Lepisosteus oculatus: one gene and its partners. The protein of the gene in region 1 interacts with the protein of each later gene in a biochemical or structural test. Links are inferred from orthologs where the notes say so. Each region holds a gene or a part of one and is shown in the gene's direction. Other genes may lie near its edges.

Region 1 (7,632 bases):
GTTTAATAATGGTCAAATAGCTTAAGGTATGGGATGGTACGGAGAGCGGCAATCAATTATGAAGACAAAAACGTTTTCGCGATTAAAAATCTTGTGAATTCATTTAAACCAGTGAAGCATGTATTATGCAGAGAGGGTCAGTTGGTCAAAGAATAATAATGATGTACCTGAGGGGGAAAGACAGTGACAAATCTAAGTCAACATGTATTGTAAAAGGCCTATTCATAAATGTTATCATCTTCGCAGAAAACCTTTTTAACTCAAAATCATCATCCAGACCATTAGGTTTTAAAGTAGAAATTTATTAAAGTATCCAACATGATTCATTTTGCTGTCTGTAGTGAATTTGTGAAATCTGCATTGAAATGCTTGGGCGAAGAGAACTTTGTAGCTTTGGATTGAAGTACAGTAAGGGGCTTTTTATGCTCATATTAACTAGCTGTAGTCAGCTTCAGAGATCGACCACAACAAACTTCAAGGTGATAGATGTCCAGCTAATACACACTTTAGTTGCACATGTAAGGGTTCTTGGGGTTTCCTCCCTTGCCGCTCCTGCCCTGCCAGTTCGTCCTTCGGTGCTTTGGCTCGAACCCGGGTCTCCGGCGTCATGCAACAGGGAACTTGCCGGCTGAGCTAAAGGAGACCTCCCCAGTCTGGGCAACTGAGATCCCTGTCATACGCAGGGGTGTATTCGTTACACACAGCATACGCTGAAAGTTTCTGTCACTCCAATAAGCAGGCGTGGAGATAGACATCTATGTTTAGCCTTCACATTTGATACATGGACTGGGTATCTTTGCTGTAGAGTTTCAATGGAGATTACAAGTTAATTTAATTATTGACACTTTTATTTCTTGGTGACTTACATTTCCACCTATTTATACACCTGTGTATTTTACTGGAATAGCTCAACTACTTTGCTCAGGGGTATATCACCCTGCAGCTCACAACTGGCAACCCACTGCTGCTAAGCAGGTGTGAGCCTGGTCAATACTGGGATGGAGACCTGGGAAAAACTAAGGTTGCTGCTGGAAGAGGTGTTAGTGGGTCCAGTAGGTAACACTCACCCTGTGGTCTGTGTGGGTCCTAATGCCCCAGGATAGTGATGGGGACACTGTACTGTAAAAAAAGAGCCCCTGTCCTTCAGATGAAACTTAAAACTGAGGTACTCACTCTCTGTGGTCATTTAAAATCTCAGGGCACTTCTAAAAAAGAGTAATGGTTTTACCTTGGTATCCAGGCCAAATTTCCCATTTGCCTTTACCAATCACTGCCTCATAATAATCCTTTTCTGTGAATTCATTGGCTTCATCTCTCTGTTCTCCTCCCCACGGATAGCTGGCGTGTGGTGAGCGTACTGGTGCACTTTTGCTGCCATCATCCAGGTGGGGGCTGCACATTGGTGATGATGGAGGGAGTCACCATTACCTGTAAAGTGCTTTGAGTGGAGTGTCCAGAAAGCCATGTATAAGTGTAATAATAATAATAATAATAATAATAATAATAATAATAATAATAATAATAATAATAATAATAATAATAAACTATTCTTATTATTATTACAGTGACTAACCTAGGGTTTGAACAATCTTCCAGTTACGAGTTTAGAAATCCTGACCACTGCTACACACTCCTGCATTCTTCCCACATTCTAAGATATGAAGGCGGGGTGTTACAGTGGTTCAGCCCCTTCCACACACCCCTCACACATACTCTGTAAACATGCGACAACAACAAGAAAAACACGCAGCTTAACAGAATATGGCAGCACGAACAGCAATCAAATGTAATGAGGGTAACAATTAGAACTACTTACAGCTTGTACAACTTGTACTACTTACGGTGATGGTGGAGGGGATCCCCATTACCTGTAAAGCGCTTTGAGTGAAGTGTCCAGAAAAGCGCTATATAAGTGTAAGCAATTATTAATATTATAATTTTTATTGTGCTCCCACAGTGCCTGTATGGCAAACAGGGCCATTGGAGCCTAGAGTGAAGTCCCATTTCCTGCAGCTAGGGGGCGCATGGTCTTTACAGTATTATTTTAAGGGAAGAAACTAAGCTGGGATGCTTTGGAGATTGGAGCCAATATCCACGTTGTTCTAGCGATGATGTAGCACATCTCACTTTGGCTTCTAAAATCTTTTTCAACAAACATCCATGCTGATTTGAATATGGATACAACTTTTTTTTAAATGTGAATATTCACATGAAAAGTCTGGCCTTGTGTGAGAATTTGCACACATGCTGTTTCCACATGCTGTCAGGAGTTTTGAAGCAATGCTTTTGCTGAGTGAATACCAGCTGAATTAAATAACTGAACAACACTTAAAAAATGGACACCTGCCTGCAGTGGATTTGTCTTCAGGTTTTCAGCTCAGCTCTAAACAACCACAATCAGGTCATTTTCTCACAACTGGAACAGCTTCTTATCTTATCTTAGCTTTTCCTGGCTCTTCAAGTGTGCTTTGTAGAGACCGAGCAAACCCACAAACACAATGCCCCCTTGAACAATATTATGTTTTGCCTGAAAAGATCGTAACAATACAAGACAGATATTGATGAAGTGCCTGACTGTTTTCCTTGTTGTATATGGCACTATAAACATCTTGTAAAATGAGCAAGCAAATGGCTAACTGTACCTGAATATCTCCACAGGATCTTCTGATAAAACAGTGGAGGTGAGCCCTTGTTAATGCAGGCTTTGATGTCAGGGATCCTGTAGTGTGCAGAACATGTTTAACTGCTTATTAGTGATAAAGTTGCTTACGTATTTTAAGCAACGTGGACTGTTTTCGCTCAAAACCACAAGCAGTGATCACTGTTATTTCACCAGAGAATGACTCTGTTTTTTGCTTTTGTAGCGTCAGGCTCAAACCTGTCGCAGGCCACTCATGAAATGATATGGTAGCCCCTTCTGCACAACACCTCATGAACAAATTGCCAAACTCGTAGATATCCCACAACCCAGCACTATATACACCTCCACTGTTCGTACCTATGTGAGAGAATGTGCATGCACAAGTCCCTGTCTTACAATAGTCACCATACTGTTGCTAACAATACAAACAAATGATATAAATAGTGGTGATACTTTAGTTGATAGAAATTATTAAAACACCATTAATAAATATTTTTAAGCCATATCTTAAAGCAGCCATATCACCCTGCAACTCACAACTGGTAACCCACTGAAGCTAAGCAGGTGTGAGCCTGGTCAGTACCTGGATGGGAGACCTCCTGGGACAAACTAAGGTTGCTGCTGGAAGAGGTGCTAGTGGAGCCAGCAGGGGGCGCTCACCCTGTGGTCTGTGTGGGTCCTAATGCCCCAGTATAGTGACGGGGACACTATACTGTAAACAGGTGCTGTCCTTTGGATGAGACGTAAAACCGAGGTCCTGACTCTCTGTGCTCATTAAAAATCCCAGGGCGTTTCTCGAAAAGAGTAGGGGTGTAACCCCGGCGTCCTGGCCAAATTTCCCATTGGCCCTTACCAATCATGGCCTCCTAATAATCCCCCTCTATGAATTGGCTTAATTACTCTGCTCTCCTCCCCACTGATAGCTGATGTGTGGTGAGTGTACTGGTGCACTATGGCTACCGTCACATCATCCAGGTGGTGGAGGGGAGTCCCCATTACCTGTAAAGTGCTTTGAGTGGAATGTCCAGAAAAGCGCTATATAAGTGTAAGCAATTATTATTAACAAACATGTTAAAACCTAATGAATGTCTTCACCAGAAAATAACATAAGAAAGTTTACACAAGAGGAGGACAAACACAGGTGGGAAGCTTGTTTTAAACTCCCACAAATCTCTGTGGTAAGAAATTCCTATTCTCCTTGTGTTCTATTTTAAATGCAGTTCCATGGTGTTCCCAGTTGTTTCATTTGCAGTATTGCTACACCCCCATGTTGATGTCTTCTGGACAGTTCACAAATATATTAAAGAAATGTTTCCTGTAACTGACACCTGCCTCACATTTGCGAGAGTAGACATAGAAGCAGAGCACATTTTTAGATATCTGTCCAAATTACCAACAGTTAGGTTAACCTTCTAAAGATGGCGCCCATTTTGAAGTACGCTAACGTAATTGACTCTAGCATGATATGGGATATCTATGGTTAATCTAGAGCGGCCTTGCTCTTTGCTGCGTAATTTGCACTCACGACCAACGAGATTGGTGAACACCCGGCGTCCTTCTAAAATTCGATTGGACTTTGCTCAGTCACTCCTGACGCAAACCCACCTCAGCCCGCCTCTGTTACCTATTTATGGTCGTTTTCGTTACAGCTGGTGGCATTCGGCTATCTTCGGAAAAATGGGGGCATGGGAGGTGGGAGGAGGGGGGGGCGCAGTCCCATTGGCCCTCAACCCCCGGATCTCTCCGCCCGTCTCGCTCCAGATTGGCTGACAGAACCTCCTCACGTCTGCTTGCGCGTTCACAATGTCCGATTCTCGCACAGCAGCTACTGCAGTCTGGTGACGTAGCCCACGCTGTTCGCAATTAGCCGTGGCGCCTTTGTCCGTACATTACGCAAATGACGTTGTGCGGGTCGGAGTGACAAAGAGAGCGAGCACAGAGACAGACGGAGACGGAATAGAAAAAGAAATTCTGAATTTGTGAGAGTGGCAAAATTGCTATTTCCCACTTAACTAGGCATCTAAGGCACTTTTTCGACCCCCGGCTTTATCCCAGAGAGTTCAGATTATAACATCTGTGTGTATGGGGCCGGAAGAGGCGGAAGAACTGGGGAGATCTTTTGATTTAAAATCGGGAAATTGGAAATTTTTCATTTGAATTGTTGGTTGGGCTGAGCAAGGAAGCCGCCATGGCTGAAGCTGTCGGATCATTGAGTCTCCACCTCAGAATATGAAGCAGATTTTCGTGGCTGCCTTGTGTAATCGGCGATATTTTAAGAGAAAGTTTGCGTTTTAGAAAAGCAAATCGGATCCGATTTTTTAAATAAAAAAGATCTAAGCGACCTTGTGTTCCTTAAAATAAATTAAAGGGAGTTTTTTTTAAAAAAAAAGATAGAAGATACCGTGGAGGGGGAGGAGAGAGAAAGGTTAGCCGTTTTCCATGAGACACTGGGAAATCAAAGACGTTTTTCTTTTGAAGGCCTGATCGTTGGAGCAGGAGGAGAAGACGAAGCAAGGAAAGGGGCCTTTTTTCCCTGGGAGAAAAAGGGATGATTTGAAAGGAGACCCGGGTCTGGGTGGACAGGAGACGCCAGGAATCGAGTGAAACCGGGAAGGGGCCGAGAGCCGTGGGGAGCTGCTTCCGTTTGCCGAGATACGCTGGCCGTCGGCTCCGACCGGGGGGAAGACCGCAGCGACAGATCTGATCCCAGCAGCAGCAGCAGCGGCCGAGAGAAAGGCGGCGAGAGAGAGAGAGAGAGGGGTGGGGGAGACGGAGATCGGTGAAGAGGGATCATGTCCGGACGGCCCAGGACCACCTCCTTCGCGGAGAGCTGCAAGCCGGTGCAGCCGCCGTCCGCGTTTGGCAGCATGAAAGTCAGCAGTAAGTGTCACCCAGCCTGCGTCCGACTGTCAGCGCCCGGGCCGCGCCGGCGGCGAGCGTGTGTCTGTCATACTGAATCGTGCGATTTGAATTGACGACGCTTGGGCTCTGGCTGTTAGATTTTTTTTTTTCTTGGGCGGTCGAGAGGTGATGGTGTTACTTGTCTATGCGGTCTATGGCGTTTTTATTCGGCGAGAAAGCCGGCCCCTTCGTAGCACGGTTGAGGTCTGACATCGGTATCGATAATCGATACGGTGCTTTCGATACGGAAGTGCATCCCTAATAAGCCAAACGTGCATTTTAATAATACACGTAGACGCTTAGAATAAGACCGCTAAGCGTAAGAGTAATGTAGAACCAGTTGTTCACACGGATTCGTGCAAAATGATTTTGATGATCATGCTGCACAGTCTGCGATGTAGCATCTGTCAGGCGTTAAAGCTACAGGCCGATTCCTCGCTGATAATCAGTTCTGTGTGACTTCATCGAGGAAGTGGATTGGTGATAAACCAACAGTATTGGAGAGACTGGGCTCCGAGTGTCTGCCAGAGTAACAAGGCGAGCGTAGTGTGCAACCGTATTTCACTTAATGCCAGAAGGACACTTCGACATCCTTTAACTGCTGTATTTGTTGTCCTTGCTATAGCTCAAAAGAAAATAATTCACGACAAAGTAAAAACAGTTCCGCACCACAATTTTAACATCCCCTTCCATTGACTAGTTGTGTGGGTGGTACTGTACTGCCTTTGCTATTTCAAGCAGTAGAATTATTAATACCGCGTTTCAGTGCTGGTGTCGGGCACCCTTCCACATATCTCACGCGGGAAAGAAGACGGCTTTCTGTCTGAGGAGCTAGGTGGAAGTTTGTGTTTGGCACAAATATGTGTCATACTGAATTTAGAAGACAAGCTTGCAACAACGGGGAGGGAAAGAGAGTTCCGCGTTTTCCGCAGAGAAGGGGCAGGGGTTTTGAATGTTGTGGTTAAAGGCTGTGAAAGATTGCGTTGACTGGTGTATGGGTTTTCAATATCACGTTTAATGTTTGAAAACTTGGTCTGAGGTGTGTGGATTTAATCTGTTGAATGTTCTTTGTGTGTGGATATGTGATGCTCCTGGTCCTGGACAGCCTGGGGTATCATGGTTTTCCAAGCTGTCTTTAAAGTAGTAGTAACTCAAGAGCTGGGCGGAGCTGTTGAACAGGTCCAGTTAAGCCGTTAACTAGCTGGTGTAGCTCGTTAAGAGATGGAATGAAAACTGCAGACGCACTAGTTCTCCAGGACCAGAACTGCACACCCCCAGTTTAGTGTTGCCTCATCCTTACCAAATGATAGGAAGCTGAACCTGGCACCAGTGCATTCCCACTGATGCAACACTGCCTGTCCAGGATCCAGAAAGGTCCAGGTCAATTATCCCATGTCTTGGGTTGTCCTGACAGATCCCTTGCTCACCTGCTAAACGTGCAGATTTCCTTTGCATTTATTAGTAAGGATTTGTCTCTGTAGGAATAAGGGTGTGAAGCATGAATCAAGCCTGGGATGCTGGAGAGAGCATCCCTTGCCAGCATACTTTCTTCCAGGACTTGATCGTTTTAGCTGATCAGCTGTTGGTTCAGCTGAATAATTGAGTAGTAGATCTTGGCACAGCTCCTGCAATGCAGTCAGGTTGGAAGCTCGTGTCTGGACGCCTGGAAGGCATGAAGGCAGCACAGTTCCTCTTGGCTCCAGAGTTTCGGGTTCGATTTCGGGGGGGGGGGGGTACCTGTCTGGGTATACCTGGCATGTTGTTACTGGGTTTTCTGGTTTCCTCCCAAGGACGTGCAATTTAGGATTGATTATTTATTCTGATGTTGCTTAGGATGGTCTCTTCTCGTCTCTGGCCTTTCTGATGTCCCGATATTCGCTTTGGTTTTTTGGTTGATAGTGGACTGAGTGGCCCAGAATTTGTTTGGGAATATTTTGTACTTGGATACCCTAACCTCCGTGCTACAGTGCTAGCTTCTATATGCAACCTTTACTCTTTCCAAAACGGAGCTTTTTTTCATTGCAAGAGGATGTATTTTTGTAAATTCTGCAGGTGTAAATAATCTTGTAAATGTTCCAGGCTCTCTTTGT
Region 2 (7,945 bases), about 14 Mb from region 1:
AATAGGAATAAAGTCTCTCTGAAACCATTGTTAAAGGACCCGCAGAGTGCTATGCTCTGTTTTAACTGTCTTTTATTTTTTATTTTCATTTTAGTTTGGTGACATATTTGATAAGTATTCTGAATCTCAGATTCTCTTTTCACCATGTGCTACATACAGTAGGAAACTTCCTCAACAGTTACTTGTTGTCGGGATTATCGGTCCTTGTACAGGATTATAGTTCACTAGCTGTTTGAGTTACTAGAGGCAGAAGGTTTGTTTTATAATACTCTAGGCCTTACTTCCATTCATAAATGTATGTGTGCATCCAAATTACAGGTGAAATAAATTTAATTTTCCATCTATATACAATGATTAGTGGAACAATATGATAACACTGAACCCAAAAATACTTTGAGTCAAAATGCTAATAAAAAGAATGCTTGGTGGAATATCTTGTGTAATTCAAAATTAACTTTGCTTTGCTATAAAGTGACTTTCTCATTATTTCCATTTTATTTAACAGGAATTGGCTATAATGAAACAAGTTCTGATTAATATGCATCAAAAACACTATGGTGAAGGGGCGGCTCATCCTCAAAATGAAGAAACCAGAAGAACAGCGATATACAGACCAGAAGGTCTCATTAACACAGAGGAAGAAGAGAATATTCTCAAACCAAAACCAACTTTGTTTGTAAGTATTACACACATTTTACACTTAATTCTCAAGAAAGTTAAACATTATCTTACATTAAAAGATCAAAGAAGTGTTTTTTTTTTTATTATTGCTTTTATGTAGTCAGTCAAACTATGTGGAATAATAATAATAGACTCTTCCCTGAGTGTTTTCACATGGTTGGAAAATATTTGTTGAATTTTTTGCTAAAAGCAAAAGTGCTTAGAATGGTTTCTGAACATCAGATATTTGGTAATTCTTTGTTTTAATGATGAAAGATGAACAAAGTAAACTGTGATTGGCTGTTCAGTCTGGTATGCTTATGACTTTTCTTTGGCATTTACACTGAAATGTTTTGTCAGACTGCTTTTTTGAGAGAGTTCATTATGCACTTTACTGTTGAATGAATTAACTGAAGCTCTTTCTGGTTTTTTTTCCAGACAAATAAAGAGGCTCCTGAATGGTATAAAAAGCTGAAGCATAAAAATAAGTGACAATTTTCTGTTTTCATCATAAAATAAATCATGGTGGTGGTACTGTTAAAAAAGAAGTTTACCATTATTTATTGCTGCATATACAGTATTTTATATGATAATTTGCTGGATTGATTTAGTAAAATCAGTGCATCTTAATTCTTTGTCAATCAAATGTCTTGTGAGATGCCTTATGTAATAAAAATCAATAACCAATGTTGCAAAAAATGCATTGTATCTCATTATTTAATGGACAGATCTACAGTACAGTATGCATTTTGTGTCTCCCAAACTGCTTAAAGACATTTTTCACCTTACACAGTTATTCACAAGATCTAAGTTAAAACTTTAGTTGAAATGTTTATATTAAACTGTGTTGGTGGTATTCTGTTTTGAGGCAGTATATTAGAACTGGAAAAGAGAAAATGGAAAAGAAAATTGTATTGTGTCTAGTCTCTAATATGAGCCTATATATTACAGCCTATAAATATATTGTATTTTGAAATACTTTGTTAAAGATAAGGAAAACATGCATGTAATGTTTTGATGTTATTTAAAGATGACCAGTAGTAATCATAAGTGCACAGCAGAACCTTTAATGTTTTCAATTTATTGAATATATGATTTCTTCACTATACTCTGCTTTAAGTATTGCTGCGTAACAAATTAATTAAACTCAAAGCATGGTCTTCTTGTTCACTTTTAAATTATTTAAATTTGTTTAAATTACTATTTCCACAGTTTGGAGCTAGAATTGTACTGTTGCTGGAAAGGGTAATTAACAAGGCTTATCAGTATAATTAGGGGCAGAGTGCTGCACTAGTGCTTTGCTACCTCACAGAGCAGAGACCCTGTTTTCAATTTCCTACCTGGGCTGCTGTCTGCAGAGTGTGTATGTTCTCCCCACGTTTGCCTGGGTTTTTTCCAGCAGCCCAAACACATACTGGGAGGTTAATTGGCTTCTGGGAAGATTGGCCCTGGTGTGAGTGTGTGTCTGTGTGCGCTCTGCGATGGACTGGTGTCCCATCCATAGGCTCCAGCTCCCCCACGACCCTGAATTGGATGAAGTGGTTAGAAGATGGATGGATGATTAAGTGTATTTAAGGAAATATGGATGATGCTTTTCTCCAAAGTATGTCCCACAGATTATAATATTGTGTTTTGTTTAATGCAAATGAATGCAGGCTCTGTTTGGTTGGGCAATCGGATTAACATATTATTCACATACATGTACAATGCCAGTGTACCCCCTACCCACCTGTATGGAGTTTAAAGTCCAAACTGCTACACTATACATATACCGCAGCCTTCTTATAGGCCTTCTTCTACTGAATCACCTTCCCTTAAAGGCTCCATTTCTAGGAATCCTGATTGATATTAACAAATACAATAACTGTCTCAGGACACTCAGGAACTTGGGTTTGAAAAATAAGCAATCCAGTTACTACAGACTCTCAGCATTGTTCGTTACTCTGTAGGGCAGTACATTCTTACCGTTAAGTGTGTAGCTCTTTTAAGCAGAGAACATAGTGTATAGTATTAAATACCTCATTCAATACTATATATATATATTACATTAAGTCATGTTTATTCAAAAGTAAATACTTTTAAAGCTGATCCAAGTATTTAAAATCCTCAAAGGCACCGAGTCCAGTGAGACACAAACCGGAGGATATAACATGGAAGTGCAGTTAAAACTGAGAATAGGAGGTAAATCTTTTCACAGGGGCTGTAGGATTGAGTAGCAAGTTACCCAGCTACACTTGATGCCACATCCCTGGCATCTTTCCAAAACCAGCTGGATGAAATCCTGAAATTGACCAGCTACTAACTACCAAGCAAGCCACGGTGTGTCATGTTGTCTCTAAGCACATTTCTTGGAATGTCTTCTCATCAGATTTCAGTTCCAACCTGTGCAGGGCAATTAAACAATTAAACCTGATTGTTTTTCTGAATTTTGCGTATATCGGGTTTTTTCCACTACGGTCTTTTACAGTTATTCACTTCCTTAAAGGTGCAGTTTCTGATAAATAACCTCGGAGCGTAAAATGTCAGAATTATGCAGCTAATTAAACAATCAGACCAACAAGGTAACTGGGACCGTGGATCTAACATAAACCGTAATGCACTCGTGCTAGCCGGTCCTCCCCTGGTTCGTCTCTTTTACAGCATTTTCCGTCATATGATTATAGTTTCTAAAATATACTGTAGAAAATAAGGAGAAATACATTTTGTCTTGACAGAATACAAATCACTAATTGCTGTGTTACCAATTTATTTTTTTTATTTTCTTGCCACTAGAATAATTTCCTTTCTGTCATTCGGGTACAGCTTTTTTAAATGGCTGGATGAAGCAGACCTAAACTGCACACTTTTAACCGATGTGGGGAAAGCCAAAAAAAAGTATTTAAAAAGTTATAAAAGTTTTGTGCATTTGCATTTTGTGTATTTCTTTCCAAAGGTTTCCAAATGGGATAAACTGCACCTGCTGTTCAAGGTGGGAGAAAAAATCAATCACATTTTAAATAGCAGGAGCGCGTTGTTATTTAATAAGGTCTCAACAGGACATTCCAAATATAATAAATTGCTGTTATGAGTTTTATAATATCTTACTGCTGAGCTAGTATTTTTTAAAATATGTTTTACCCTGCGAGTTTCTATTGATGTTCCTAAATTGCATTAAATGCTGAACTGGTGGACTAACATACTTCACTTTTTTTAAATACTGGCTTCTAGATACACAATCATACGATTGCCAGTATGTCGGGTGTTTCACTTGACAGCATTTATGTCGCCTCCTTCTTGGAAAGAAACAAAGAGGCAGCATTTAAACAAATCCCCTGTTCACAGGTCCTGCGAACTGTACTTCACATCTAGCACGCAAACGTAGTGTAGCAGGTTAAATGGAAATGAGATCGCCCGGGGCGTTGTTTTCAAATTTATCTGGATGAAACTACACACCCAAACAAAAGCGGGGTTAAAATTGTTTTTAAATGATGTATATTAAAGATGCAGTTGCCGAAGGTTTTACATTCTAATGGCTATGGTGGTTGGTCAATTTTAGACGTTGGGACGTAATTCAAAGGACATCCTTTATCCCTACATCATGAACGAAGATTTCGGCATTTGTGGGAGCTAAATGGATAGGATGGCTTTGGAAAAAAAAACCGTGCGAAATATTTCTAACGCTCAAAGTCTCCCGGGTCTTGATTTGTTGCACACACAGCGTTTAAAAATAGGAATGCATTCCTTTATCATTAAGAGTTTCGAGCCGATCCGGGTCTTCTAGTTACCCTTGGCCCGAGGTGCTCAGAATAAACTAAACTGCTGTAACTGGAATTCCCCTCCAGCTCCACTTATGAAAAACAAAAAGATACAGTACTTCGTTTTCCAGTACATTACATAAATATGTTTTCCACAGTTTAGGGGCTACAAATGTTGTCACGTGTAAAAACAAATACGTGCCACCCTACTCGCACGTTCACTGACCTGCTGTGGTTTGAGTCTGATGAAGTTACTACTGTATGTGGCACCATTGTTACTTTTTGTTCCCGAAACGATGTGAATCATATCCAGACCTTGTGCATTTTCGCTGAAGAATGCTTCTGAACACTCCGCAGTACACCAAACCCGCTGAGTAATAAAGTATTCTCAAGATTTTCAATGATTGTAATCCCTACTACGGTTTATAGTAATTAGCCTCCCCCTTGTCAATCCGATCACCTTGGCTCCGCCCCGAGGCGAACCAGAGAAAAAGTGACCGAGGCGATGTTAGATCAGAAAAGTCCAACAACGGCGAGCTGGGTGGAGCACCGCGCGAAATCTACCGGAGATCTTTCCGTTCGTGTGATTTTCCTATTTGCACTCTGAAAGAATAGCATAAGTAAAACCTAACTGGAATATACCACACTGGGTATTGCACCCTGTAGCTGACATTCATGGCCACTACCACTCTGTTAACGATGACTGCAGGGCTGGGTCCGGGGCAGGACGAACCGTTTTATGCCCTTCTTAAACCAACGCTGTCTGAAGGTAACCAGGAGAGAGACTTGTCGCTGTTTGCTGGAGACATGAAGAATACGGCCAGTGCCAGGATTTTAACGAACGATTTTATGCAGGTAGGACATACTAAGTTTTAGATTTGCAACTTTTCAGTGAAGGTTCTCCTGGGAGCTACAAGTTAAAAAGTCAGGCTTTTTGCGAACGCCTTCTTTTGCACTGTTCAATAGCTATTGATGTATTTGTTTAAAACTTGGTTTGCATTTTAACAGTCCCTTCGTCTCCTTTGAAGGCTGCCTGAATAGAACACGACATTCTAGTGACGATATTTTCATTCCTTTTCAATACTTTTTAAAATAAATATCAGATATGGTGTGATAGTCTAGATGTTTTTGTTTAGATTGCTATTTTTGTATTTTATTTTTCCCCGAAGAGAGAGCCTGCTAAAATCGCGCAGGATTTGAATGGTTTCGTATCATTACTAAGAAAAGGACATCCGTAGTTGGTACGACTGTAAATATATGTATGAATAAAGGAAAATAGTATGTAAGTGAATCTTAAAACTATGTTTATTTCCAGTCCGGGGTAGGAATGAAGGTGGGAGGTACTGTGTGGGCGGAGGGCATTTTTAGCTGTTTGGAAGTTGGAAGCCAGGTCTCTGGCATGGAGTGAGCGCTCAGTACAGTTGCTGTACGGCTGTGTGCACTTGACCACCATCTCGTCGACAACTGACTCCCCTCGCCCACTCGCAGTGCTGGCTCGCAGACTGGGAGAAACTTCCCAGCAACGCAGACCTTAATCAGAAAACCGTTTTGAAAGAGATACTGGGCAGTGAACAGCTGGAAGATCTAAATTCAGAAATAGCTAACCATAGCCTAGCAGAACACTTCTAGCGCTTTGTTCCAGTTTAAAGGATTTTTTTTTCGGTTACTCGAGCATATCACTTACATTAGAGAAATAAGTGAAATTTCCACACATGATTTGGACAGAAGATTAGTTTTGTTTTAACGCGATCGGGGGAGATAGCAGAGTGGTATGAAAAAAGCTTAGCAATTTAACTTATTTTCCACTTGTCAGCTGATTCTGTTTTGGGATTTGGTGTGAGCTGCGTTTTTACAAGAGAAGGGGGAATGTAGCATAAGTCCATTGAAGAGTACTTGATAAATGTTTTGCTGATGACTGTACTAGTAACATATCAGCCTCCTTCCACCCACACGCGCTTTAGCGCAAGCACGGAATGATTACAGTTTAGGCATCAAAATGTCAAGTCTAGTGTTACAGTTTTATAGCTTGACATTATACCCTGCTGAAACGTGGAATGAGAATATTTAATCTGTAATACGCACGCGAAATACACCATGAGACTTTATTCGTTTGATAGCTCACATCCCAATCCATAGCTTTCGAAACGTTTTTCGAGATTTTATTAATGAACAACAAACCCTTTTGCTTTCCTTCTGCTACTTGTTTCAAACATCAGGTAGAGGCTGAAGGACGGAACAGTGCAATTTCTAAAGATGCCTGAAAAATATAATGGAGAGATGCATATAAAAGGAGTACACTGGAAACACTGAAATCTGTTACAGTTTTGTATTGAAATGTAATAATAATCAGAATTGGCTGTGAGAGAGGAGACAAAATGATTTACAGAAATCAGTTACACATTTGGTGTGTGTTTTGTTTTGGCTTCCTTAAAAACGTCATGTGTAATATGTTCCCCCTGCAGATTTGAAGGTCATAATATTAATGTATAGAAAAAAAATGATCAGAAGTACTTATACTGTTTTGACAAAAAAACAAACCCAAATCTTCCAAAGCTTACTCTTGGTCAGAGTTTAAAATAGAAGCACTCACTATTTTTAAGACGCTCATGCTTCATGAAATGTATCAGTAGCAATCTTATATACCTTATTTTACATTTATTATATTAATTTTGTTTATTAAAAAGGTCCAAAGGGAAAATTTAAGTGGTAGCAGTTAAATCTTCAGTAGTAGGCTAAAGATATATCTACATCATAAATTGGTTCCTAGAAATTGACTCTTAAGGCACACAGAAGATTGATTATGATGAATATAATTTGAATATACCGGGTGTTTCCATAGTGTGTCAGCTGGACTTATTATGTTCAGATTTAAAACATTTTTACACCAGTCTAGGTGAATTTAAAAATCTACACATTTTTATCTTTTGAGATATTAAATTTCTTCAATAGTTGGTGAAATTAAGAAAAGCATTGCAATCGTTTGTCAGAGTCATTTCTCTCTGCCTGAGAAATACACTAATTTCTTCTTGGTGATTTTCTTGGTTTTTAATTCTCAGACAAGATCAGAGATGGACAAGTACCTGACGCCACAGCCTCCACCACCCCTGCTAACACCAGAAGAAAAGAAGTTTCGTAGAGATAGTGTTTCTGTGGTGGACCAGTTCTTTTGCGAAGATGAAGGGTCACCATACAGCATCAACATGAACGTCTTTCTTCCAGACTTCACATACCTTCGGACTGGCTTGTGCAGACCCCAGAGGCCAGCGGTGCCGCAGATCAAGACTGAGCCCATGCACTGCTTCGTGCACCCGAACAGCCCAAGCACCAGCGCAGCACAGACCCTCCCTGAGTTTACCAGTGTCTTCAGCTCTGCTGCAGGGGCAGACATCAACAGTATCTTCATCAAACAAGAAATGCCTTCCCTTGATATCCCTCAGGAGGGTCCCCTGTTTCAGCTCTTAAATTCCCCAGAACTGGAAGGGCCCATTGCTGGGAGCCAGGCCTGTGCTAACCCTCATAGCAACATTCCTATGGCATCTGCAATGCCCAAT
Region 3 (7,455 bases), on another chromosome or scaffold:
AGTACAGCAGTCTGTAGAGGCAGAGGTGGCTGGGAAAGCTGCTCTTCATGGACCTGTTCTGGAAGCTTCACATTTTAAGTTTCCAAACATAGGTCCATGAAGGTTAACAATCTTTTCTAACACAATGAGTTTAATTAGAAGGTGCTGTTTTAACACCTCATTAACAGCAATTTAAACAAGAAAGAGCATTAATGTAGTAGTTGGATGTCCAAGGACATATTGCTTAAAATTTAATAGAATTAAAATATGATAACATCGTACTTTTAAATTAGGCTAAATGTAAAGGGATAGAACTAACTTAAAGGACACAGCTATCAATGTATAAATAAGAGAGTAGGGGTTCTTACAGAATTGCCATCTGCTCCAATACTGAGATTTTACAATTATTTATTGAAAATTCTGTGGATTTGGTTTATATTTGAATGATTTTACTGAATTATGAATCAGACTTTATTCATTAAAATCTTATTAATTCTTATGCCCTCAGAACATTGAGACTTCAGTATTCTGATTGGTTCAACCAATAATGATGCTCACATTGAGCTGTATGACCCACAAGTAACACACCTGAGCCCGGATTTCATCCCTAGCTCACTGTGACTTACTAAGTGACAACACACAATTGGCAGAAAGTCATCTCAGGAATCATTGTGATTAGCCACCCAGCACTCGCTCAGCTCTCAATGGAACAGCAGCTCCTGTGTCTGGCTGGTTGCCTGCAGCCTTGCAGTCAGATCATTGCACTGACTGCCATTTGTCTCTGATGGAGGTCAGAGGAGCTTGTCTGCCCCATGTTCATTCCCTCTGGATAGACGTTGTAAAGGAGACATAAGGAAATAATTTCCAATCCCAGATTGATTATAAAAAGTTTTAAAAAAAGGAAATAACGAGGTCTAATTTCTTTCAGATTAAGAGCATCATTGGAGACCACCTGCAAAACAACGTTTCACTGTCCTTGAAAGGAATTAGACGGAAGCTTTCCCTGTCTTAATGGCCTCCTCAGAAGATTTTTGTTCAGGAGGTCTGGATGAAATTAAATTCAGTTCAGGTTGATCCAGTGTATTTCATTGGTTGTATGAAATAAGTACATTTACATAAGTATTTGTTCCAGCAAATACAAAGCAGTCTTCAATTAATTACATCCATGCTTTGCATATACTGTACTTTGTTATAAACAGGCACAATGTAGCTACGTCAATTAACTACAGTATATTTGAATAAATAGTAGAAATAAGGCCAGCACTGGGGCACAGTGGTTGGGGTCCCTGAGTTTAGTTCCAGACCTGGGATGTTATCTGTGCGGAGTTTGTATGTTCTCCCCCTGTTTGTGTGAGTTTCTTCCAGGTGTGAGTTATTTGTGTTGTACACCCTGGTTGTGAGTGTGTGTGTCTGCCTGTGTGTGTCAAGCGAGCTTACTGAATCGAATGAAGCAGCTGGCAAAAGAGTGAGTGGTTGAATGTACATTGATCTTGTACTGTACTACGATAAGGGTTTCTTCTGATCAGCAGCATCATCTTGGACTGAACTACATTCGTTCTGTGGGGGCAGGGGCAGAACTCATATAAACCTAGAACTCTGAGCAAGAGATACTCAATTTTAGGATTCAGACTACTACCCTGACTTACTATTGTCTACAGCAAGCGCATAATTGAATGTAATTTAAACCTTTATTAAGATCTCATCATAAGGCTTTAATTTAGTTCCCTAACTTTTCTTCGTCTATATTGCATTCTGTTGTGCTTTATTGAAACATGTTTTATCTGACCAATTCCATTCCCTTTCCAATTACTTCTGTCGATTACAAACCCACTGGCTCACGTCGTTATCTCTTGTACAGCTCCTTTCAGTCCACACATACTAAAAACTCTCTCGCCTTTTCACAGTTCCTCGGGCACCTCAGGCAAAGACAACATGGACTTCCATAACCAAGCCCTCAGAATGCACTCTTTTTCATTAACAGAGGATACCCTATACATGTTATTGACAGGACTCTCACTCGAGCCAAAATGGTCTTCAGATCATCAACCCATATAGGAAGTACCGAACTTCTGCATTTCAGTGGTGATGCCCTACCACCCCAACACCCTTTCTATCCCCAGGACCATTAATAACAACTTACCCATCTTACAGGATGACCCCTCTGCTGTTACCCTCTTTCCTGACCTCCCCATCACTGACCTCCTCGTATCCCTGACCACCTCATCTGCACAATCTTCTTCTTCACAGCTCCCTTAACCTCCCACAGCAACCATTCACACCAGACTCTTTCCCCTGCAACAGAACCAGCTGCATCTCCTGCAAATACATATCCAATACTATGCACAATCAAGGACCCTTTGGACAGTTCCGTCTCACTCAGATGACATCATGTATTTCCAGCAACCTCATTAATGCAGAAAATGCTGATTCCGAATGCCGAAGAGGCAGGAAGGAGACTAGGAGACCGTTTCAGGGAACATGTCAGGGCCGTGAGGATCAAAGATCTCTCCAAACTCGTAGTTCCCCATTTCAACTCCGACGGCCATGATCATGTGACCGTCGTGGTTCCACACGGGCTTGTGCCCTCCGCCACCCCGTTTCGTGCCACAGCACCTGGGGCGCGAACCCGAGTCACTGGCGTAACGCCACAGGGAACCAGCCGCATGAGCTAAAGGAGACCTCCCTCAGCCCAGGCAGCTGAGGTCCCTGCTACGCGCAGTGAGGGCAATGACGTCACCGTGTCTGAACTAGCTCCGCTACAATCACACTGATCTCTCTGTCTGGGTCCTCACAGAGGGGTAAGGGTCCAACTCCTGTTGCAGAAAGACATCCGAAACCAAAATAATCTTGAAATTAGGATCACACCTGCCCCCTTTTGCCCCCTTTAAATCCCCTCTATTCTTTTGCAGATTTTGGCTTTTCACACATCTCCATCTGTTCATCCTGAGTTTGGATACTCATTCTCACCTGCAACATGCCCTATTCCTCCTTGATCACCGCTCCGTCTTAACTACTCTTTCTTTTTTCCTCCTATGCCTTATTTTCTGCTACCTTCTCCTCCTCTCTCCAACAGCCAAAACATTGTGTCTCTTTTTTTACCTTTCAGCATGGAAAGGACCTACGTGGTTTACTTTACAGCTAAATACTCACTTTCTACTTAATTAAAGTAAGAAAACTACTGAAAGTGTATTGGATTTCATATTATTGGAATAATAAGAAAGATTTCTTGTAATTAAAAAAATTATCTGTAGTACCCTACTGGGAATAAACACAAAAAGTATGAAGCTCCTTGAAAACCCTCCCTGGGGATAAATAAAACAGATATTGTATTTTATGACACCCAATCAAACCTGCCCTGCATGTCTTGGTTAGGTTAGAGGATACTGGAGTAGAAGGTGAAAAACCACACAGACAGAGGGAGGACATGCATACAGCAGCTGTATCACCCTGCAGCTGGCAACCCACTGAAGCTCAGCAGGTGTGAGCCTGGTCAGTCCCTGGATGGGAGACCTCCTGGGAAAAACTGAGGTTGCAGCTGGAAGAGGTGTTAGTGGGGCCAGGCGGGGTGCTTACCCTGCGGTCTGTGTGGGTCTGAATGCTCCAGCATAGTGACAGGGACACTATACTGTAAACAGGTGCTGTCCTTTGGATGAGATGTAAAACGGAGGTCCTGACTCTCTGTGGTTATTAAAAATCCCAGGGTGTTTTTTGAAAAGAGTAGAGGCATCACCCTGGCATCCTGGACAAATTTCCCATTGGCCTTTATTAATCATGGCTACCTAATAATCCCCATCTATGTAGTGGCTGCATCACTCTGGATGCTGTACATTGGTGAGGGTGGAGGGGAGTCCCTGTTACCTGAAAGGGCTTTGTGTGGAGTGTCCAGAAAAGTGCTATGTAAGTGTAAGCAATTATAAGTAAATACATGTAAGCACCATGCTGCCCTGTATATGTGGCACAGAATGTTTAAAATTAAATTATGATCTTATCAATATATGAACCCACACATTTTTTTTCACATTATTACGCTGATACCAAGATATTGTAGTTATTTTAGCTTTTTTAGTTGTAGTTCATTTAGTATCTTATAATCCTCAAAGCCTATACAAGTAAAAAAGAAAGTATGTTGTTTGCATTGTACATATTTCCCAATATCTTTTACCCAATCTTATAGTTATCATGTTAAATGTTTAGCATTTGGTCTGACAAATAAGTGACTTATTTTAACCCAAGGTCTACAAAAAGAAACTCAAATGAGTTTTCTGGTATTCCCCTTTCACATATACAAAGGCAACGTTTGTCCCATCGCGCTTGCCGTAGTTTGGCGATCGTCAGGAGAGGAGACGAGCAAGGAAACATGGCAGGTAGAGTTGGGAAACAGAGCCGTGCCAACAATGCGACTGGCAGCGCGAACAGAAAGGGTCCTGCCGGGCAAGAAGAGGAGGAGCAGCCGCTTCAGGCTGTTCTGATAGCCGACAGCTTCACCCGGAGATTTTTCCCCATTTCTAAAGATCAGCCCAGGGTCAGTGTGGCGTGTGCACATGGCTGTGTGTGAAATGAAATGCAAAGCTGGTTTCTCAACAACGTTCGTTTTGTGTTTTACGTTTTGACTGCACGCTTCTTGATTTTTAAATAAAAATATTACGTTGCATATTCTGTTGACATCAGGTTTTCATCGCCTAGTATTCATCGCACTGACTTACAGTACTTTAGCAAGTGCTTTGTTTTCTCTTATTTCTGTATATTCTAATTACTCCGTTCCATACCTTCTAATTTATTTATTCGTGTTATGTATAGGGACAGGTGCAACACAAATACATAACTAACAACAGAAAAGTCTTCTAAAAGTAGAAATGTAAAACTGTATCCCGTTAACATTTTGCGTACAAGTTCTATGTTGCTTCATTGTAACTAATTTTGTGACTGAGGCTTTACGGGACAGCATATAATGTTTTTTTTTTGCTCTAGTCCAAAATATAATGTTCTTTTTTCAAACCCCGTTGGGTCTAAACTAACTCTAGGTTTAGAATTATGTTTAAAACGCTCATAACATTAATCCTACGTACGTTTTTCATGCCAGTAGTATTTTACTAAATTAGTATGTTGCACTTTCACTTTATCTCCCTGTATGGGTATTGTTTATCTCTTACTCAGGAAACGGCAACTGGATCCTTAACCATTGATTACATTCACACGAATTCACATTAATTCATAATAGTGGTATGATAGTATAGCAAATGTTCATTTTCCCAGAAGTATGTTAAATTATAGTATTAAGATTGTAAAGTGGTATAATGTTGATTTTGGGGGGGGAAAAACAAATATATTTGAAACATTGACTGACATTCTTATATATCAGTGCTACAACTATGTTTGGTTTCTGAATTGTATTAATCATCCTACTGTCTACTGAATATTTAATATTGAATATTTAACTTTATGCTTTATGTGAAGTGGTTGTTTGACAGTTGCTTTTCTGTCATTCAGGCTTTGTTCCCACTGGCCAATGTGGCCATGATTGACTATACACTGGAATGCCTCACCGCCACTGGTGTCCAGGAAACGTTTGTCTTTTGTTGCTGGATGTCGAATAAAATCAAAGAGCACTTGTTGTGAGTAACGTCCCTTCTTTGTAAAAAGAGATTTGTTTTCACAGCATCTCAAACTGATTTGTACTCATCTGCAGTGAGGTTTTATGGCTTTTTTTTCACAGGAACTACATATTACGTTTAAATTCAACCTTAAAGGGGAACTGTAGGGCTATTTTTATAGTTTGGGATTAGAAGGAATTAGCATTGATGAGTGCATTTCAAGATCCAATGAAAGTAGAATATACACAGTAACGTGTTAAAGCTCCAATTTACATCACAACATAGATAACATTTCCAGGTGTGCGCAGTGCCATATTCTGTAATTCAGAACAAGGCAACAAAACGTCCGATGAGATGAAGCAGCGCTACGATGTTGTGATCATGCGGACTTGTGAACACATCTATTTGAATCCAACAGAAATATTGTTATCCACTTCAAGATATTGCTACAAATGCTACTTACAGTACCTGTTAACTCTGCATGCAGATCACTTTGGAACATTTCTGCAATTAAATGTCTGCTGTACAACCTGTATTTATACGTTTGTACATCCCATTACAATATTCATTGTGGAGACTAGTGAGCAGGAAGGGCCGCATCACATGGCAATTTGTGGGAACTCTTGCTCCCTCCCCCTGGAGATACTGGGGGGTTGCCACACCATGGCAACTATCCAGCACTTTCTTAAAGTTCACAATTTTGTGCTTGTTTCAGAACTGGTCAAATTTTGCAAACACAGTCAATTTATTTTGTTACTGAGGTTCAATTACCAGTCCTGAGGAATGGGGACTTCAGTTCCCGTCTAAGTTTGTAGCTCTGCAGAAAGCTGTCTGGTATCTGTTGTGTTTATTTCCATCTTTATTCCTTAGGAAGTCAAAATGGTGCCGCCCGACCTCCCCAAACACAGTACACGTCATCACGTCAGACCTGTACCGTTCCCTGGGGGACGTGCTGAGGGACGTCGATGCCAAGTCTCTCGTCCGTGGTGACTTCCTTCTTGTTTATGGGGACGTGGTGTCCAACATCGATGTCACCCAAGCCCTGCAGGAACACAGGTAGAGCCCCTGAACTCCTGAGGGTGTATGTAGCTTCGTGTAGAGCTGCTGTATGGATGGATTGTAGGCCAGGGCTCTCCATGTCTGGTTCTGGAGGGCAGGTGTCTGTACTGGTTTTCTCTGCGTACGGTAGCGTCACCTGAAGCACTGCGAGAAGTTGTTAAATTGGCCAATGATGAGATGCTTGAGGCATTTGCTAGTTGAGCTGGAATGAAGAGCTGCTGACATGCTAGACTTCCAGGAGCCGGATTGTTGTAGGTTCATAGCAAGTTGGCTGTTGCATAAAAAAGTGAGTTTCATTCCGCTTTTCCTCACTCAAGAGGGATGCACGGTTCTTGCGTTCCAGAACTGCATTAGTTATGATGTGTTTTCTTCCGTTCTATTTTGTGGATCACAAGTCACAAATGAACCACAATCATTCTTCTGCGTAGGAATCGTCGCAAGGCAGAAAAGAACGTGTCTGTGATGACCATGATTTTCAAGGAGTCGTCGCCTGGTCACAAGTCACGCTGTGAGGAAGACGATGTTATTGTAGCTGTGGACAGCAAGAGCAAGCGGGTTCTTCACTACCAGAAGACTCATGGGCTAAAGAAACTCCGTTTCCCAATGGTAAGCAGTTGTTAGCAGTGCTAATAAGGTGATGAAGAAAAAGAGTCTGAAGCTTCACTTCCAGTCTTCTAAAAGTAAAAATTTAAAACTGTATCCTATAATATATAAATTGCAGAATATTGAAAATATATTTTTTAAACAAAATGATAGTTAACAGTATGTTGTTTTAATTGATTACTTAAACATAAAATGTTACAGTGCAGAAGTCAGAGTGTTTCAT
Region 4 (7,149 bases), on another chromosome or scaffold:
AATATCGTTACCACAAAAGATAACATGTTATTCGGTGTTTATTTTTTCTAACATTGACACGGACTCCTGAGATTTTTGAAAACGGAAAGGCACTCAGATATTGTTGCTCCTGATCAAATACATAAGAGCCACAACACGAATTCTACGAAAACCTAATACTACGTGCTCTACGGTAAAAACTTATTCTCCAGTTGTTTAGTATTTCATCCCTGTTATTTTGTAAACTTTGTCTACGAAGCCGTCTGCATCCTAGCCCCGGTCCTTGTGTTCGTTGACCACTGGCGATTGACATTATTCTAATCCGATTCGTTCTGCCTGCTAATTCCTTTGTGGAAAGGACGCTTTACAAATGCAAATATCCTACTACGGGCAGCTAGTGGCTGCAGAAAAGTGCAACGTGGAAAATACCATGGTTTTCCAAGGGTTAAGGAATTTACCTGTTTGGGCCACTTAAATATAAATAAGGGAATGATTTACATCAACTTTCACTTTTGTTGATGCCTAATCTAGATTCCAGTATGAATTACGCAGAAATCATGAATTGTACAAAATGTTTTCATATACCAAAGTCCGTTTTCTCCTCATAATCAATATTGTTTATACAGCAATAAAGCCACTTCTTAATCATAATATTAAGAATAAATATATGTTTTTGCATTTTTCATAATTGTTGTGCTTCAGTGCCGTGTTGATTGGCTTGACTGGCAACTTGCTTTGCCGTTGCTAAGCGCAGACCGGTGGCTGGTAGCCTGTTGATTCAAGGAAGCAGGACAGATCTCTGCTGTTGTGCTTTGAAAAAGCCGACTGGGAGGCGGACTACAAATGCAAATGTATTTTGACACAAACTTATTCATTCCGCCGGCAGCTCAAAAACACGTCTCCTGACGGTTTCTTTACGTAGAACACATCAATTCTGTGTCATTTAAGTGTCCGTGTGTTATTATCTTGTTTGTATTAGTTTGAAAATAATATTTGACTTTTTTTTCGGTTTGCAGCATCAGGTTATGTACACACCGTCTTCCTATATCCGTCCTGTATTTCAACAATGACGTATAACACCAACGAAGTATTTATTTTCAAGTCTGCCCTTTTTATATATTACTTTGGTAATACTCAATTAGTAGAGGCCGCAATCTGTACGTCTCCAGTATCCATGCATTAGGGTGTATTGTTATTTGCCAGTGTATTAAAGGCAAATAGCGTTATGTACCTATGAAAATACTACTTGATTATCAAAAGTAAAAATATGTAGTATTAACAATGGGCTTTTGTCTGTTGTAACGAGGCCATCATGGTTCAAGTCATCAGGTACGATAGATAACATAAAATGTAAAAATGAAAGGATGACTGAGTAATCTCAGGAGCCTGTGTCCAGTGAAAAGGCGTATTATTGCATTGATGGTACACCTGCTTAAGCCCAAATTAACCTTGTTGTTGAGCCTTTTGTGTGGTATCATTCTCAGAAACAGTACAGTCTCATCAGTCATAGTAAAAACAGTTTCATTTATTGGATAACCAGTTTTGGTAACAGATGACCTTGAGGCCTAAACACTCTCTGTTTAGCTGAAGAAACACCCCCTTTCCATTAGCTTAGCTGGGAGAATTAGTCCATGCATTGTTTACTACATATATAACACATGGGGAAGGATTCTGTGTCTAGTTGATAGTAGATCCTTATGCATTTAGGTCTGGATCTATTAGACAGCTGAAGCACCTTGATCAAAAGTCATACAGTGAATGAAGGAAATGACCTTTTCTTCTGCTGAGTTTATATTCCCAGCCTTTCAGGATACTTATTCCCAAGTATTATGAGCGAGTACAGTGCTAGCTGCAGAAATGTCATTCACAATTCAGACTTTTAGTGCATTTACAGTATTTATTAACACCACAAATGCAGGCTTCTCGCTGGTTTACTGTCATGTAGTTGACATCCTTTTGGTGCAGAATATGATCAGTCTGCTTACAGGAGAGAATGGAATCAAAGTCATTATGTTGATTCCTGGTCTCATAAGGAGACCTGGAGCTTGCCAAGAGGTAATTAACCACCTGAGCTCTTCTACAGTATATGATGAAGGTAATTAGGAGCAAAGTAAAGGCCATAACTGTTCAAATATCTTACATGTGGATGTTAAAAAATACAGTTTTTTATTAAAAATACATATATATTTTTAACTCAAACATTTACAAATATACTTTTTGCCAATATATACATTCTGAGAACAATATTAGGTGGTATGGCACCTGCATTGCCCATTCTGATATAGAGACAGTAAATTGTTTCATTGTGTGTTTTATGAACCACATTATTAAACATCCTATCCTTTGTATCCTATATTTTGGTTTCATGTGCTAATGTTCTTAATTGCTCTGAAAGCATGAGTTATTTGCTGAGGTAATAAGTAGGGAGATGATGTTTAACTACTGTATCAACCTTGCAATCATCAGTACTAATGTATTGCAGAGTGCTAATTCACTTGTATTTCATCTGACACACTAGAGTGCAGTGCAGTGATTGCATTTAAAAAGTCCATTGTCTGCGCTGAATGGAGCTCCCTGGGCCTGCTCAAGGACACCTGGCTGATGGTGGTCCTTTTGAAGGACTAGTGCACTGCAGCTGTGAGTGGGTCCTGTGAGACAGTCTCCTCCCTGCACAGTCACAGCTTGGTGCACTCTGTAGACAGTCTGCCTCAGTCCATTTTGGTCTGCCATATTAGCTCCCAGTGAAGAGGGCTTCCAAGTTGATCACCAGGAGAAATTATACACCATCTATTTTCTAACCTCTTTATCCAGTACAGGATCCTGGCAAGCAACAGGCACTAGGCAGGATACACTCTGGGTGGGATGCCTGTCCACTGCAGGGCAAACACAGACACAAACACACACACACTCACACCTGGGACAGTTTTCCCAGAAGCAACAGAATTTATTCTGTAACTAAAACACACTTTTTTCTTATAATATAATGCATACATAGATAAATTTAAATTAGGTTTTTGATATTGTCCTTTTATCACTGAATTGTGGGTTATAGGCTCTTAAATGACCAAATCTGGTAGTTATGTCAGATAAAGCTTTACATTAATGTATTGCATTATATCACATGCTGAATTGCTGTGTGTGATCACGTTGACATAATGTGCTTTTATTAATTTGGAAACTGATGATTCTATCTAGGAAATCAGTAGTCTGTTTATTTGCTTATTTCATATCTTTATCTTTTATCTGCTTTTTTCTATTACATCTATTTATTTCCTACCCTAACATACTCCTGTGGCTGTGGAATCAGCCTGTTTATCATCACTGATCATCTGTTCAGCCTTTTGGATGTGTAAGTCCAAATGTGTTGTGTTTCATTGATGTAAATTGCATTAGACAACACAAATCCCCTTTTCTCTTCACCCCCAGTCGTGTATTTCTCTGAAGGGCTCATTTTTAAAAGGAAATTGGCAAAATCAGCTTTTTATCTATTAGATATTTTATTTTAATTATGCAAGTAAAAAGAACACAGCTGTGAAATGATCAAAACCCAAGATTTCAGCTATTTTGACACTGGGTAATTTATGACAGGGTATGTGAAGGGAAACAACTGTTTCTCTGAGATGGTTTGCACTGTGGGTGTGTGAATTCTGAGACCAATCAGAGAAGAAGTCCAGACCTTCGCATGAGGTAGAGAGGGTAAAGATCAGCTACATCTGTGTGCAACCATCCTCTCTATAAAAATGTTCAGAACACCGGAGAAGGTGTTGAATTGACTAGTTGTGAACTTTGCCTAGTTTTGGAGTTTTGAAGTCACCAGGGAAATGTTTTGCTCTCTTGTAGGTTAAACAGGGTAGAATATGCTTGTCTTTTCAATGAGATTAAAGTTAGGAGGAAGAACCATAGTGTACAGTAGCCCTCCTGTACTGTGAAGTTAGCTTTAGAGAGAAATCCAGTGAGACAAAACAGGTTACAAACCAAGTCAGAGAGGGGAGGGTTTTACAACATTGTTTGTCTTTCCTCTGAATGTGTGTAGGATCTCTACACCACACTGGTATGGCATTATCTGTCCAGACACTAAGGTACTAATACTGCTTATCTAATAGATCAGTTGGCCTTGACTGCCCAGGTGAAGGAATGGAAGTAGTTTTGCCCTTCCATGAACTCCTGTCTTAGCAACATTGGTAATCCATCTGACCACAAAAGGATTTTGGGTCTGTGTGCTGGCCAGCGAGATGTCTTAGGTCAAAGGTAAAATTATCTTTCTCACCTTGTACGTTCAGCAAACATACTGTACACAGTAGCCTGATTGTTATCCGGACAGGGACAGGATCTTGGACTGAATGTAAACAGAAACATCAAGATATACCGCTTCTCCTTCATCCTCTCTCCTGCAGTGTTCATATTTTTCTCCCATTTTAGCTTTTAGAGTAACCCACAAAAGCAAACTTTTGCAATTGCTCACAGAGGCCACCTTCATATGTTTTGAAGTAGTGGGGCTCGATCATAAGACTGAATGAGAGGTTTGCCAATGATGTGAACAAAAATTCAGGACACAGTCAGTTACATGCAAGACCTCTGAATCAATATGACTGCATTGGTGATGATGCAAGCCAAGCCAGCATATACTAAACAAATCACTTTATTCTGATAAAAAAAATCTTGAACTCCTTTTCACAGTAAGACACTACACATGAGGAACCTAGGACTATGCTCTATGGTGCAAATGTTCTGAATTTTGAAAATTATTTACAACAATAAAAATATACTATTCTGACCTATCAACATCCAAAGCTGTAGCATGGGACACAGTTAAGACAACAGATGACAATATTTTGCTGCTCATTAAAATAAAAAAACATTGTCCTTCAAAACATGAAATTGTTGACATCCATTTGAGAAAATATTTACGTAAAGATTAGTAAAAATAGTAAAGAGCAGAATAGTGTGATTGTTTTCGAAACCTTTGAAAACACAAGAAAAGCTCAATCTTACTGTGTTGGATTCGACTCAGTGATACTGTTAAAGTAAACATTTTTACACAAAAAAAATCTCTTATTTGTGCAGAAAGTCTAACATTTTTTCTGGATTGAAACAATTCTAAATATACTGCTGTGACACCAATTCAGTGATAGGCATGGATCCAATCCAGATTTATTACAGATAGATTAAAAAGATATTTCAGCTGACCCACAGTTCTCTCTTAATCAACTATTTATAGCACTAGATTGCATACATGCAAAATTTACAATGGCTGTTAGTTTACGATCTTTTTTGAAGTAGTTCTAAAAAGAAGTTAAGCAGCTGTTTACACTTTTAGTCCATGACACCTGCTTTAGAATAATCTTAGTAGTGTACATTCTCAATCCCTTCCTGCTGTACTGGGTGTTTCTGTCCCTACAGGCAAGTGACTCACCTTGTCTTATTAATCTGCTTGTTTCTATTATCCCATACCCTGTTCCTCTCCCTGCTTAGTAACGAAGTTCTTCATTGGAATTTCAACAGGTGAAACTAAGATGTCTCTGGTTGTTCAGTCAGTTTTAGTGCATCTGTGGCATTTAACTTCACAGTGGTGTCTGCTTTCATGCCTAAGTGATTTAAGTTTAAAATCAATATGGTTCATTGGAAGAATAACAGGCTTACAAGAACATTAAACTTAATTAATGTCCTAGAAGACCTGAACTGGAATTTCTGTTTAAAAATCTGTAAATTTGGTACGTCAGTTTAAGAAAAGACTCAATCATAGAATATTTCTCAACCCAATTTTCACTGGTATTGCACGGAATCTACTTGTTTGCTTTTGAAAGCTAATTTTGAGATTTTCAGTGGTCTTGTAAAGATGGAGATTGTGGGCATGAACAGAACTATTTAAGAATCTTAGAAGGCAAAAACACTTCTATTTTGCTCAAAGTGAAGAGGTCTGTTAAAAATAACCTAAGAACCTAAAAACATTTTATCCCATCTGGCCTGTTTGACTGTTAATTATTCCAGGAATCCGATCCAGCCATTTCTTGAGAAGATCCAGGGTATCAGCTTCAAAAACATAGCTGGGCAGCTTGATCCATAGTCCCAGCAAGACAAGATGACAAGAAAGCATTGTGGAGAATTTTCCTCACCAGCTGAGCGGGAAATTCTCCTCAATGCAATATCTCAGCAATGGTGAGTTAGGGTTTCCTAAATCTCTCCCTTTCTCCCTGTCATTCTTGCTCCCAGGGTGAGCGGGCAGGTGGTTCTGTGCTATGGGATGGATGAAGCCCAGCAGGACCAGTACGAGGCTCAGCTGAAGGAAGTCTTCGACAGTTTCGACACCAGCGGCTCGGGGTCCCTGGGTCAGGAGGAGCTCTCGGAGCTGTGCAGGGCCCTGCATCTTGAAGAAGTCGCCCCTACACTACTGCACACCCTGCTGCCAGAAGAGGGACTTCACACTGACAGGGTACGGGACAGCGCCTGCTGGGATAGGGTTGGGGGCATCAGCTTGTGTGGTCAGTTCTGTGTGTCTGTGTGTCCGTTTCCAGATCTAAGTGAGAACTGGCTCATGTACAGTATGTGGTGTGGAACGGGTACTGGGGTGAGGCAGCATTCTTTTACAGCTTGGAACAAGGCCATTGTTTGAGAATGAGAAGAGAAGCTACATATTTAAAGGCTGTACAACAACTAAAGGGACTTAGTAGTATACTAATTAGCTAGTAGTACTAGGTACTTATAGTAAGTGGTAGTTAGAAGCTTGGGGGCATCTCAGTAGAAAGTATTACGCATGTAAGGTGCAGGTGGCATTGATGGCTTAAGGTGTTGGCAGATTGTTCTGGACCTTACTCCTACGGGCCTCCCTCAGAGAGCAGTGGAGATTAATATGGACTCTGTGACCATTCCTCATTTTAAACACAGTGGAGTTCCACAGTGCACAGTGAGGAATTTGCTGTTTTGTCCTTAAATACCACAATAAAAACTGTATCATTTGAAATAATGGTCGTGTAATTATTCTTCCTGATATTACTGCAGGAATGAAGCCCATATTAGCGACAGACGCTGTGCTTTCTGAACAAGAGTTTATGGGGCTGCCACGCATTGAAGATCAACATCTTTCTGTGGTTCCTATGGAGGTCTCTGTGGAAACCAGCCCAAACTCTGAGACCTGGATTCCTAAGTTTATAAATCATTGTGGGAGTGTGTGGC

Evidence for each region.
Region 2: of the proteins of gsk3ba (region 1) and klf5b, one has a biochemical effect on the other in vitro, tested with the Homo sapiens proteins (2 studies listed by BioGRID). The link is inferred for Lepisosteus oculatus from reciprocal best matches to the Homo sapiens genes GSK3B and KLF5.
Region 3: of the proteins of gsk3ba (region 1) and eif2b5, one has a biochemical effect on the other in vitro, tested with the Homo sapiens proteins (2 studies listed by BioGRID and IntAct). The link is inferred for Lepisosteus oculatus from reciprocal best matches to the Homo sapiens genes GSK3B and EIF2B5.
Region 4: of the proteins of gsk3ba (region 1) and nin, one has a biochemical effect on the other in vitro, tested with the Homo sapiens proteins (2 studies listed by BioGRID and IntAct). The link is inferred for Lepisosteus oculatus from reciprocal best matches to the Homo sapiens genes GSK3B and NIN.

What each region holds. Positions count from the first base shown.
Region 1 is NC_090710.1:19,224,101-19,231,732, forward strand, and holds the start of gsk3ba (glycogen synthase kinase-3 beta), read left to right. Parts: upstream 1-4,553; 5' UTR 4,554-5,433; coding exon 5,434-5,521; intron 5,522-7,632. UniProt on the Homo sapiens protein: Constitutively active protein kinase that acts as a negative regulator in the hormonal control of glucose homeostasis, Wnt signaling and regulation of transcription factors and microtubules, by phosphorylating and inactivating glycogen synthase (GYS1 or GYS2), EIF2B, CTNNB1/beta-catenin, APC, AXIN1, DPYSL2/CRMP2, JUN, NFATC1/NFATC, MAPT/TAU and MACF1.
Region 2 is NC_090710.1:33,615,097-33,623,041, forward strand, and holds the start of klf5b (Krueppel-like factor 5), read left to right. Parts: upstream 1-4,887; 5' UTR 4,888-5,069; coding exon 5,070-5,249; intron 5,250-7,450; coding exon 7,451-7,945. Other genes in the region: pibf1 (progesterone-induced-blocking factor 1), read left to right, coding at 506-676, 1,099-1,152. UniProt on the Homo sapiens protein: Transcription factor that binds to GC box promoter elements. Activates the transcription of these genes.
Region 3 is NC_090708.1:8,500,370-8,507,824, forward strand, and holds the start of eif2b5 (translation initiation factor eIF2B subunit epsilon), read left to right. Parts: upstream 1-4,282; 5' UTR 4,283-4,336; coding exon 4,337-4,501; intron 4,502-5,466; coding exon 5,467-5,591; intron 5,592-6,440; coding exon 6,441-6,626; intron 6,627-7,057; coding exon 7,058-7,235; intron 7,236-7,455. Other genes in the region: probable cyclin-dependent serine/threonine-protein kinase DDB_G0292550, read left to right, coding at 1,345-1,444, 2,397-2,651. UniProt on the Homo sapiens protein: Acts as a component of the translation initiation factor 2B (eIF2B) complex, which catalyzes the exchange of GDP for GTP on eukaryotic initiation factor 2 (eIF2) gamma subunit.
Region 4 is NC_090703.1:13,095,850-13,102,998, reverse strand, and holds the start of nin (ninein), read left to right. Parts: upstream 1-4,109; 5' UTR 4,110-4,135; coding exon 4,136-4,227; intron 4,228-6,189; coding exon 6,190-6,409; intron 6,410-7,149. UniProt on the Homo sapiens protein: Centrosomal protein required in the positioning and anchorage of the microtubule minus-end in epithelial cells. May also act as a centrosome maturation factor.